Nothobranchius furzeri: one gene and its partner. The protein of the gene in region 2 interacts with the protein of the main gene of each other region in a pairwise test. Links are inferred from orthologs where the notes say so. Each region holds a gene or a part of one and is shown on either strand. Other genes may lie near its edges. The genes, in order: gal and sgta.

Region 1 (4,460 bases), on a different chromosome or scaffold from region 2:
TATTCTAAACACTCCTATTAGCTTGAAATTACACATCTGTGTACAAATATAAACTGTGGGTGACGCTCCACATGCTCCATCTTGAATACAGTTGCTGTTTATGGACATACAAGATAATATAGTGCTCCGCGTTTCACGGTTTTTACATGAAAGTTCTCCTCCCTCTACCATCATAGGGGGATGGCACCGGTTCCCTCCCTGGCAGCCTTGCTGGTTTGGGGAAACTCTGCTCCTTCCCATTGGGTTGCTTGCCCCACTCTAACTACATGTGATCGCTGTGGGAATACGTCCACAGCCGCGTGGGACCAGGAGATAAGTGATGCGTTAGGAATGGTGACGTCATGCACGGCAGGCACAGCAGCAATCCTTAGAAATGCCTTCAATGTCAGCAGATTAAAGCCTCCCTCTTAGAACTAAAGGGTCACCTGCTTGTGAAAACATGTTACTTGTTGCTGATTGGTTACCTGTAGTCTGGCCTAACTGGCTCTTGTGTGCGCGTGTGTGTGTGTGTGTGTGTGTGTGTGTGTGTGTGTGTGTGTGCGTGCGTGCGCGCGCATGTGCGTGTGTGCTTGTGTGCGTGTACATGTGTGTGTGTGTGTGTGTGTGTGTGTGTGTGTGTGCGTGCGTGCGTGCGTGTGTGCGTGCGTGTGTGTGTGCGTGCGTGCGTGTGTGTGTACGTGCGTGCGTGTGTGTGTGTGTGTGTGTGTGTGCGTGCGTGCGTGCGTGCGTGCGTGCGTGCGCGTGCGTGTGTGTGTGTGTGTGTGTGTGTGTGTGTGCGTTATTGTCAAACGACGCCAGAAACCATTCCACTGAGACTCACACCTTCCTCTGAGTAATTACATGATGAAAGTTGGAAATGCAGCCGGGTCACAGAGAAGCACAGGGCAGCAGGGTCAGATGTTAGGCGATGAGAAACACAAACAGATAATATTTGAACAGAGCAATTCCTGGTGTGACACCAAGGCCCTGCAGCAGCTGGATGTTTCTATCTTACATTGAGCGACCAGCTCGTCTCTGCCTCTGGCACTGGGGGAATCCTTTATCTGAATTAGGTGATCAATACGACCTGAAACACAGGATGAGGCAGGGGCAACCTTTACCTGGTCTTCACACACACGCACACACGGCTCAGGGTCCAGGATTTGTGTTCTGGACTACCTGTACCTCCACAAACTTGTAAAAACACACACATCTGGAAACTCATTGTTAACTTAACGTGCCCTCTGGCTAATAAGGTAATGTCTAAATCAGACTTCATTAGCTGAAACACACACAGTGGAGACAGTGGACATGGACACACCAACACAGAGATGAGCTCCACCGTCCCCTTTGAGCTGTGTGTTACACAGAAAACTGTATGTGTGTGTGGTTTGTACTTACGAGGACCTAACAGATATCCAGCGCTGTTCAGAGTCCAACCGCGCTTCTCTTTTGCCTGAAACAGAAACCACGTCTTGTCTTCTGTTCTCCTTTCTCTTTACAAGTCTCCTTAACTATTACAGTGAGCTTATTTAAAGTAGGGATGGACAATATATCGGCATCAATATCAGTGTCGGCCGATGTTAGTACTTTTTTAACATATCGGTATCGGTTCGATAAATAAAACCGGGTCGATATCAACAACCAATATTTTTTCCATCTCATCTCCATTTGTTTGCCTGTTTGAGAGGGTGTGTGTGTGTGTGTGGGGGGGGGGGGGGTGATGTGCAATTGTTTAGTCATGTGAACAGTGAATTAAATAATCTCAAAACCATAAATGTGTGTGGCATGTGTCCATAATAACGTAAATTCAGCTTTAATCATTTTCATTCCATACAAAATCTGTTGATTTTAGAAGCATTAATGTCAGAATTTCGGTATCGGAAAATATCGGTTATCGGTCATAACAGTGATCTTAATATCGGCTATCGGTATCGGCCCAAAAATTCAAATCGGCGCATTGCTAATTAAGTTAAATATTCTCCTGCAACATCACCCCTCATACAATGAAACTCTTGGCTCTAAAAGTCTGTAAAGACTCAGAGATCATGGGTTTGGACACACTCCCTCAGAGGCTCACGCTCTTCCAACTAAATTTATTCCATGCTTTCCCCTTTTTTTGTGTGCGTGCGCACACACACACACACACACACACACACACACACACACACACACACACACACACACACACACACACACATCAACCTTCGACACCCTTGGGCTCACTATATCTCCTTCTTCTTCTATAGAGTAAAAATAACAAATATAGATTTATAAATGTTTGTCTATCATTTCCAGTCTCAGAGCCTTTGAGGGATGGAAAATGTGACAATGAACGAATCTTGCAGATTTCCTCACGGAATCAAGAGTTTTTCTAAAGAAAAGCTTTAATTCTAATAAACATCTTTGCATTATGACCATTTATTACATTAATAAGAGCTTTAGTTCTTTATCTGAAGCACTGTGCTGTTTTCTAACTCTCATAAATATAAAGTTGTTTTATTATTTAATTGCAGTTATTTAAATCCAATAGTTTGAAATGATAGTTTTCCTCAGCAGTTATCCTCTCATTGACCACTCTGAGCCCTAAGTTGCTAAGTTACGCAGGAACTTACCGCAATGACGAGCCCGATGGTCTCGGACAGGGTTGCACAAAAAATAAGAGACACGCAAAAAAGACTGCAACACCTCTGCATCTGAAAAAGTAGAGACTTTTTAAAAAGCTGCTGGAGACAGCAGGTTGGACGGGAAGCCACCTGCCACAGGTAGACCTACCTTCGTCGGGACCATGACGTCACGTGTGGAACTGAGTGGAGAGTTGATGTGAGTTTGGCTGGAGCCACGACTCGGTCCGGCTTTTAAAGAGCTTGGAGCCCGTCCCTGCTGCTGCCTGCTAGCGTCAGCACCACACACACACATACACACACACAAACACACCAATAGGAGCCACATCAGGTTTGTCCTCCTCGCTCTCGAAGACCTGAGATTAAATCTGGGCTCATTACCGCAGCGGCTCTCTGAAGGAGCTGAAGCTGTTTCATGTTATGAATCCATTTTGATTGCGGTGATTCGGTGTCTGTGGAGACATGGCTGGGTTTTATCTACATTTATCAATCCACAATGACCTCAGGAGGTGTTCAATTAAGTTTCAGGTAATAAATAAAACCGTAGAGAGAAGAAAACAAATGAACACAGAAACATTATAAATATGAAAACGTTACACTTTTAATTCATCGTGTGTGGTTTGATGACATGTTATTGATGCAGATATTGATTAAATAGCAATCAAACAAAGGTTTTTTCTCAGGGACAGAGTAAAGGTGTTCAGGGTGCTCCGAGGGTGATTATAAAATAAGATACATAAAATAATCCTTCTTTAGTCCCATCAGTGGGACGTGTGCATTGTCACAGCTGAAAGCAGACAGTTCAGGTAAAAAGCAGCAAAAGTAAAAAAACAAAACAATAGAGTATACAACTAGAGCACCAGCAAGCAGTGCACTGTAGGATGCAAACCATCAAACCATTTTAGGAAACTTGGACCATAACAATAGGATCCAGGCACAAATGAAAGGTTGTGATGTCTCAGCTCTTTTACAACACCACGCAGCTGTTAGGACACGCCAAGACTTCTGACAGATGGTTGGGTGTGAGAAGAAATCTGTGCATGGGAAGACTCAAACCTCATCCACACCAAATGCAGAAGGAGTGAGGTCCTGACTCGGTCCGGCATTCACACCGGCCGCAGTGCAGATCCGGATAATGAGCTCCAGAGTCTCTGTGTGTTTTCTGTTTTTGTCTGAGAGCCGAATGCGAATATTCATGAAGAAGAAATTACATGTGCCAGACAGGAAGTGAGATGTGTTTCCGGTATATTTCAAAATACAACCCGTGTCATGATATTTCTGCTAGCTTTAGTTTTATTAGTGATGACAAAGTTGTCTGATGTGCTGCTCGTCTCTGGTAGCGGCCTGATAGTTGCTCATGTTTTATTTACAGGTATATTTTAAACATCTTGGGTCAAAGTTCTCATCGTTCAATGCTCCCATGGGAGCAGATCTCCAGAGACGTTCAAAACATGAGTGTAAACGGCTGTCCGTGCTGAAGCCAGATCGTGTCTGTTAAGCTTGGTTTATGCTTGATGCATTCACTTTCCGCGCGGTGATGCGGCTCGCGGATGGAACGCGCTTCACAACTCGCAGCGTTTATGGTTCGTGCGGCTTGTCTCTGCGGTGAGCCAATATTCTCCCAAACTGTAGGGGGCAGCATGGAGCTCTACGGCATGCACCCAACACTGCACCATAGTAGAAGTAGAAATGACTGTTTACAACATGGCATTTCAGCATTTTTAACAGCGTCCTCGTCTTTTCCGACAGTGCGAGCTATTTCTCTCCAAGAATTATTAACATGTTGATCACGGTGATCTCTGAGAGCTGAATCATACAAATGTCTGTATTTACGAACCTCTGCCGTACTAGTTCTTG
Region 2 (3,820 bases):
GGCCGTAGGCTTTACTGTAGTTCGGGTCGATGCTGATGGCCTGTTCACAGTCCCGCACGGCGCCGGCGTAGTTCCCCAGTTTACTGTAGGCTGCCGCTCTGCAACAACACCAACAGCCGCTCCATGAATCAGCTGCATGGATCCATCAGCTGAGATCCCACTGGTTTCTGTGGTTCTGGCCATTACAGTCATCCCCAGGGTAGAAGACTGACCTGTTGCAGTAGTAGACGGCATTCTGAGGATTCATACTGATGGCCTTTGCGTAAAACTCCACAGCTGCTGCAAAGTTCTCCACCTTCATCTGGTCATTTCCTGCAGGAGGAACCAGACGCCATTCATCAGCTCATAAACCACAAACAGATCCCAGAGCACCGGCAGAACCGCTGTTGGCTCACTTGAACTCTGATCTCCCAGTCCCAGTCTTTAGTCATACCAAAGACCCAATGCCTCCCTGCTTGACACGCAGCTTTAAAGAGCAAGTCACCCCCAAATCTACGTTTTTGCAGATCCACTGTAGAACCGAGTGTCTAATCGTGCTGCAGACACGTGCAGTCCATAATTTGGCACTTTAGTGCATCTTAGTTACATTTAAAGGTTCTGCTCAAGGCCTTATTTCATCAAATGGATGAAAGTAGGTCGTGCCAACCCGACACCAGGAGATTATGAATATCTCTCAGCTTGAGCATTATCCATGTCACAAGACACCTCTGAGGACACAAGACTCTTTGAATAGGGATCTTTTCTGGCTCATAACATTATTTCCTAACTTTACAAGGTATTACAGTCATATATGTTATGAGTAAATGTGTTTTAATAATGCCGAATGCTCTACAGTAAATGTTTATTCCTATAATGATTTATTCCAGATCTTAAATGATACCAGATTAGTCTACTTTGTTGATCAGTATGGTCACACATTAATAATATTATTATGAATTGTCGAGTCAGGCTCGAGAAGCAGTAGGAACCAAGATGGAAGCACCAGGGGGACTATAAAAGCGACGGGATCACTGTGGGTGCGCTAACACCTACAAGGAAACAAGTGATCCGAAGTGTTTATATCGTCTGAAAAAGGGAAAATAATATTTATAATCCCAGAGAGGCAGCCGGCTTGTCACCTGGCGCTGAAGCATGTGCTAAAGCTGCCGCTAACGCTACCACTGATTTGGTCAGGGACTAATAAAAACGGTGAAGAAAAGGGGAAGCGTTGCCTGGTTGTGAAGCCTGATATGAACCACCTGAAAGAGCTGGTAAAGGCTGCGAGAGGGCGTATGGTGAGTGGAAGAAAAGCATTCCTTCAGATGTTCAGGTCTCCGAACACACATCCCAAACACGGAGCTTCAGCTACCAAGGCTGTCTAAAGGCCAGCTTCATTCAAGCACGGATAAAGGAAGACACTGAAGACAGAAACAGGTGACAACAACGGGAAATCCTATCATAGCAGTTATTACATTCAAACCCACCTCTCTCCCCACGGTTTCTGATACCTAAGGGGATCTCCACCGATGGAAAACAGATTGGGAAGCAAGGTCAACCCGTTGGCTCAAAAGAAGTGAAGAAGGTCCAATTGCTGGACAGCCTTGATGATCAAATGACAAAAGACCTCCACCTCACAACGTATAGCACTGCAGATTGCACCTTTGGCGTTCTGGAGAACAGCCACGGAAACCAAACATCTGCTGCTATCCCAACAGTGGAAGGGAACTCCTCCTGTTAGAAACCACCATCCAAGGAAGACACTAGCCTGGCCCGCCAGACTCCTCCTCTGGTTAATGCTGCACAGAGAAAGGGTCTGGGAACGCTCCGATTCAATTAACCCCGCCCCCTGAGGTCTCTAACGAGCCGATCAGCACTGAGCATACGTCACACACCACAACGCCGAGTTTGTCATAAGCATGGCGACTGAAGCGGAGTTGGCCGCGGCTCTTTCCTCTGGTCTAAACGACTTGGGCATGTCTTTAAAACAACAAGTAGAAGCGCTAAAAGCCTTTCTTCTAGAATAAAAGACGTTTGTGCCGTCGCCAGACGCCTTTTGTTACTACAGCAGTACAGTCGGCATTTCCTCTGTTTTCTGATTGGTCGTTGTTGAGCTGCCTAGTCGGGCCGCCCTCGTGCCGTTGTGCCTGAGAGGAACCAGACTCTTTCTCTGTGCAGAGGACGAGTCCGCCAGGCCTGGAAGATGGTGGAGTTGATACAAACTGTGGAGAAGGTCTTGGAAGTATAGATGCCATAAAGAACGCCCTTGTCACAACATCTACTGTAAGTTAACTACCAGATACACTTAAAAAAGGCTTGCAATTCAAGCATTTTCAAGGATTTCAAGCACTGCATTACAATTTAAATCTGCCATCGCTATTGGCTAAGAGGTACATTATGATGCAACAATGCCGCTGTGGGCCTGTGTGTGACCGGCGGGCTGCCAGGCAACAACATCAAACAGGAAGTGAAGTAAGGCTCTGGTAGGGGGTGACTTGCTCTTTAAGGGGTTGGATCAGGAGCTTAAACCACCGGATACAGCCACAGCTGGGTCAACGGTGGAGATGCGGTCTATTCCACCAGTGCGTGATGACTAATGGGACTTTAAATGCACTCCACCTGGATGCTTTAAAACACCTCAACTACAGCACAGGCGGAGTCTGAAATGTGGGATTTCCACAGCAGCAGCAGCTTCACAGCAACTTTCCTCCAACCTGAAGATGGACCAGAGCTGCTGGTAGGACAGAGAGTTGGCTTTGACAGGGAGGAAGTCAAGATGTGCTGACGATACTAACAATGTTCACGTGGGTTTAGGACAACATCGGCGGGTACAGCGAGTCCAGCGTGTTGCAGCTCTTGGTTCTGAACCAGGTTGGGTTAGCGCGCACACCCAGGACCTGAAGCGGGACTCACCGTCACTTTTCAGCCGCTCGGCTTCAGCTTTCTGCTCCTCTGTGGGCAAACTGGGGCTGGAGTTGTTGGCCTGCGGTTGAGCTGGAAACTGTTGGGACACAAAAACGGCATCAGACCGGACCCAGAAACACCAAAATCCAGAAGTGGAGCTCGTCACACACCTTGGCTGTGGCTGCGGTGAAGATCTCGGGTAACGTCAGCGGGACGGCGAGACTCTGGTCATCGGTGGAGATTTCAAACGCTGTCTCCAAACACTGAGCAGCAACTGAAGGAGATGAAGAGAACCCCGAGAAGTCCTGAAGCTGCTTATTTCTCTTTACTGTCTTCAGAATAAAACTGCAGCTTCGGAGGCCCTTCCCCCACCCGCTCAGCGCTTTAGGGCAAGCCATTTGGGTATTTCTTCAATATCTCTGGCATCAAGTTTTATCTTGCTCAATTAGACACGTCAGAATGATGAAACTCACCTTCTAGGCTTTCCTGAGCATCTGGGGTCAGATTCCCCGACTGGAGCTGGTCATGGAGGAACCGAATGATGGAGAAGGCGAGACGCTTGGTGTCCGTCATGATGGTGGAGAGTGAGTGAGTGAGAGAGACACCTGGAACACAGGTGAGTCCAGCTGTGGTTTAGAAACACGAGCGATTCCAGCTGAACCCTAAAGCTCACCGGCTGGCTCCAACACAGCACCTGTAATGTAGCCGGTGTTGTGCTGAAACTGGCACCTCCACCAGTTCCTCTCCGACAGCACCTGTGGGCCAGTGCCACTTAGAGAGAGGTAAAAGGGCTGCTTGGTTTACGGTTAACTGGTTAATAACCGTTAAGGCTGGTTAAAGAGCTTTGGTAAAGGAGCATCGCTAGTGTGTGGACGTCAGAGTGGTTTATATGATATATTTATAATCATTAGCCTTTCATCATCATTAATATAGTAATAAA

The links.
Region 1: the proteins of sgta (region 2) and gal interact in binary tests that used the Homo sapiens proteins (3 or more experiments, as listed by UniProt). The two-hybrid records come from large-scale screens. The link is inferred for Nothobranchius furzeri from reciprocal best matches to the Homo sapiens genes SGTA and GAL.

The regions. Positions count from the first base shown.
Region 1 is NC_091754.1:40,202,378-40,206,837, forward strand, and holds the start of gal (galanin peptides), read right to left. Parts: upstream 2,849-4,460; 5' UTR 2,770-2,848; coding exon 2,755-2,769; intron 2,676-2,754; coding exon 2,595-2,675; intron 1,436-2,594; coding exon 1,381-1,435; intron 1,067-1,380; coding exon 995-1,066; intron 1-994. UniProt on the Homo sapiens protein: Endocrine hormone of the central and peripheral nervous systems that binds and activates the G protein-coupled receptors GALR1, GALR2, and GALR3.
Region 2 is NC_091748.1:79,902,158-79,905,977, reverse strand, and holds part of sgta (small glutamine-rich tetratricopeptide repeat-containing protein alpha), read right to left. Parts: intron 3,486-3,820; coding exon 3,354-3,485; intron 3,155-3,353; coding exon 3,051-3,154; intron 2,978-3,050; coding exon 2,890-2,977; intron 313-2,889; coding exon 213-312; intron 99-212; coding exon 1-98. UniProt on the Homo sapiens protein: Co-chaperone that binds misfolded and hydrophobic patches-containing client proteins in the cytosol. Mediates their targeting to the endoplasmic reticulum but also regulates their sorting to the proteasome when targeting fails.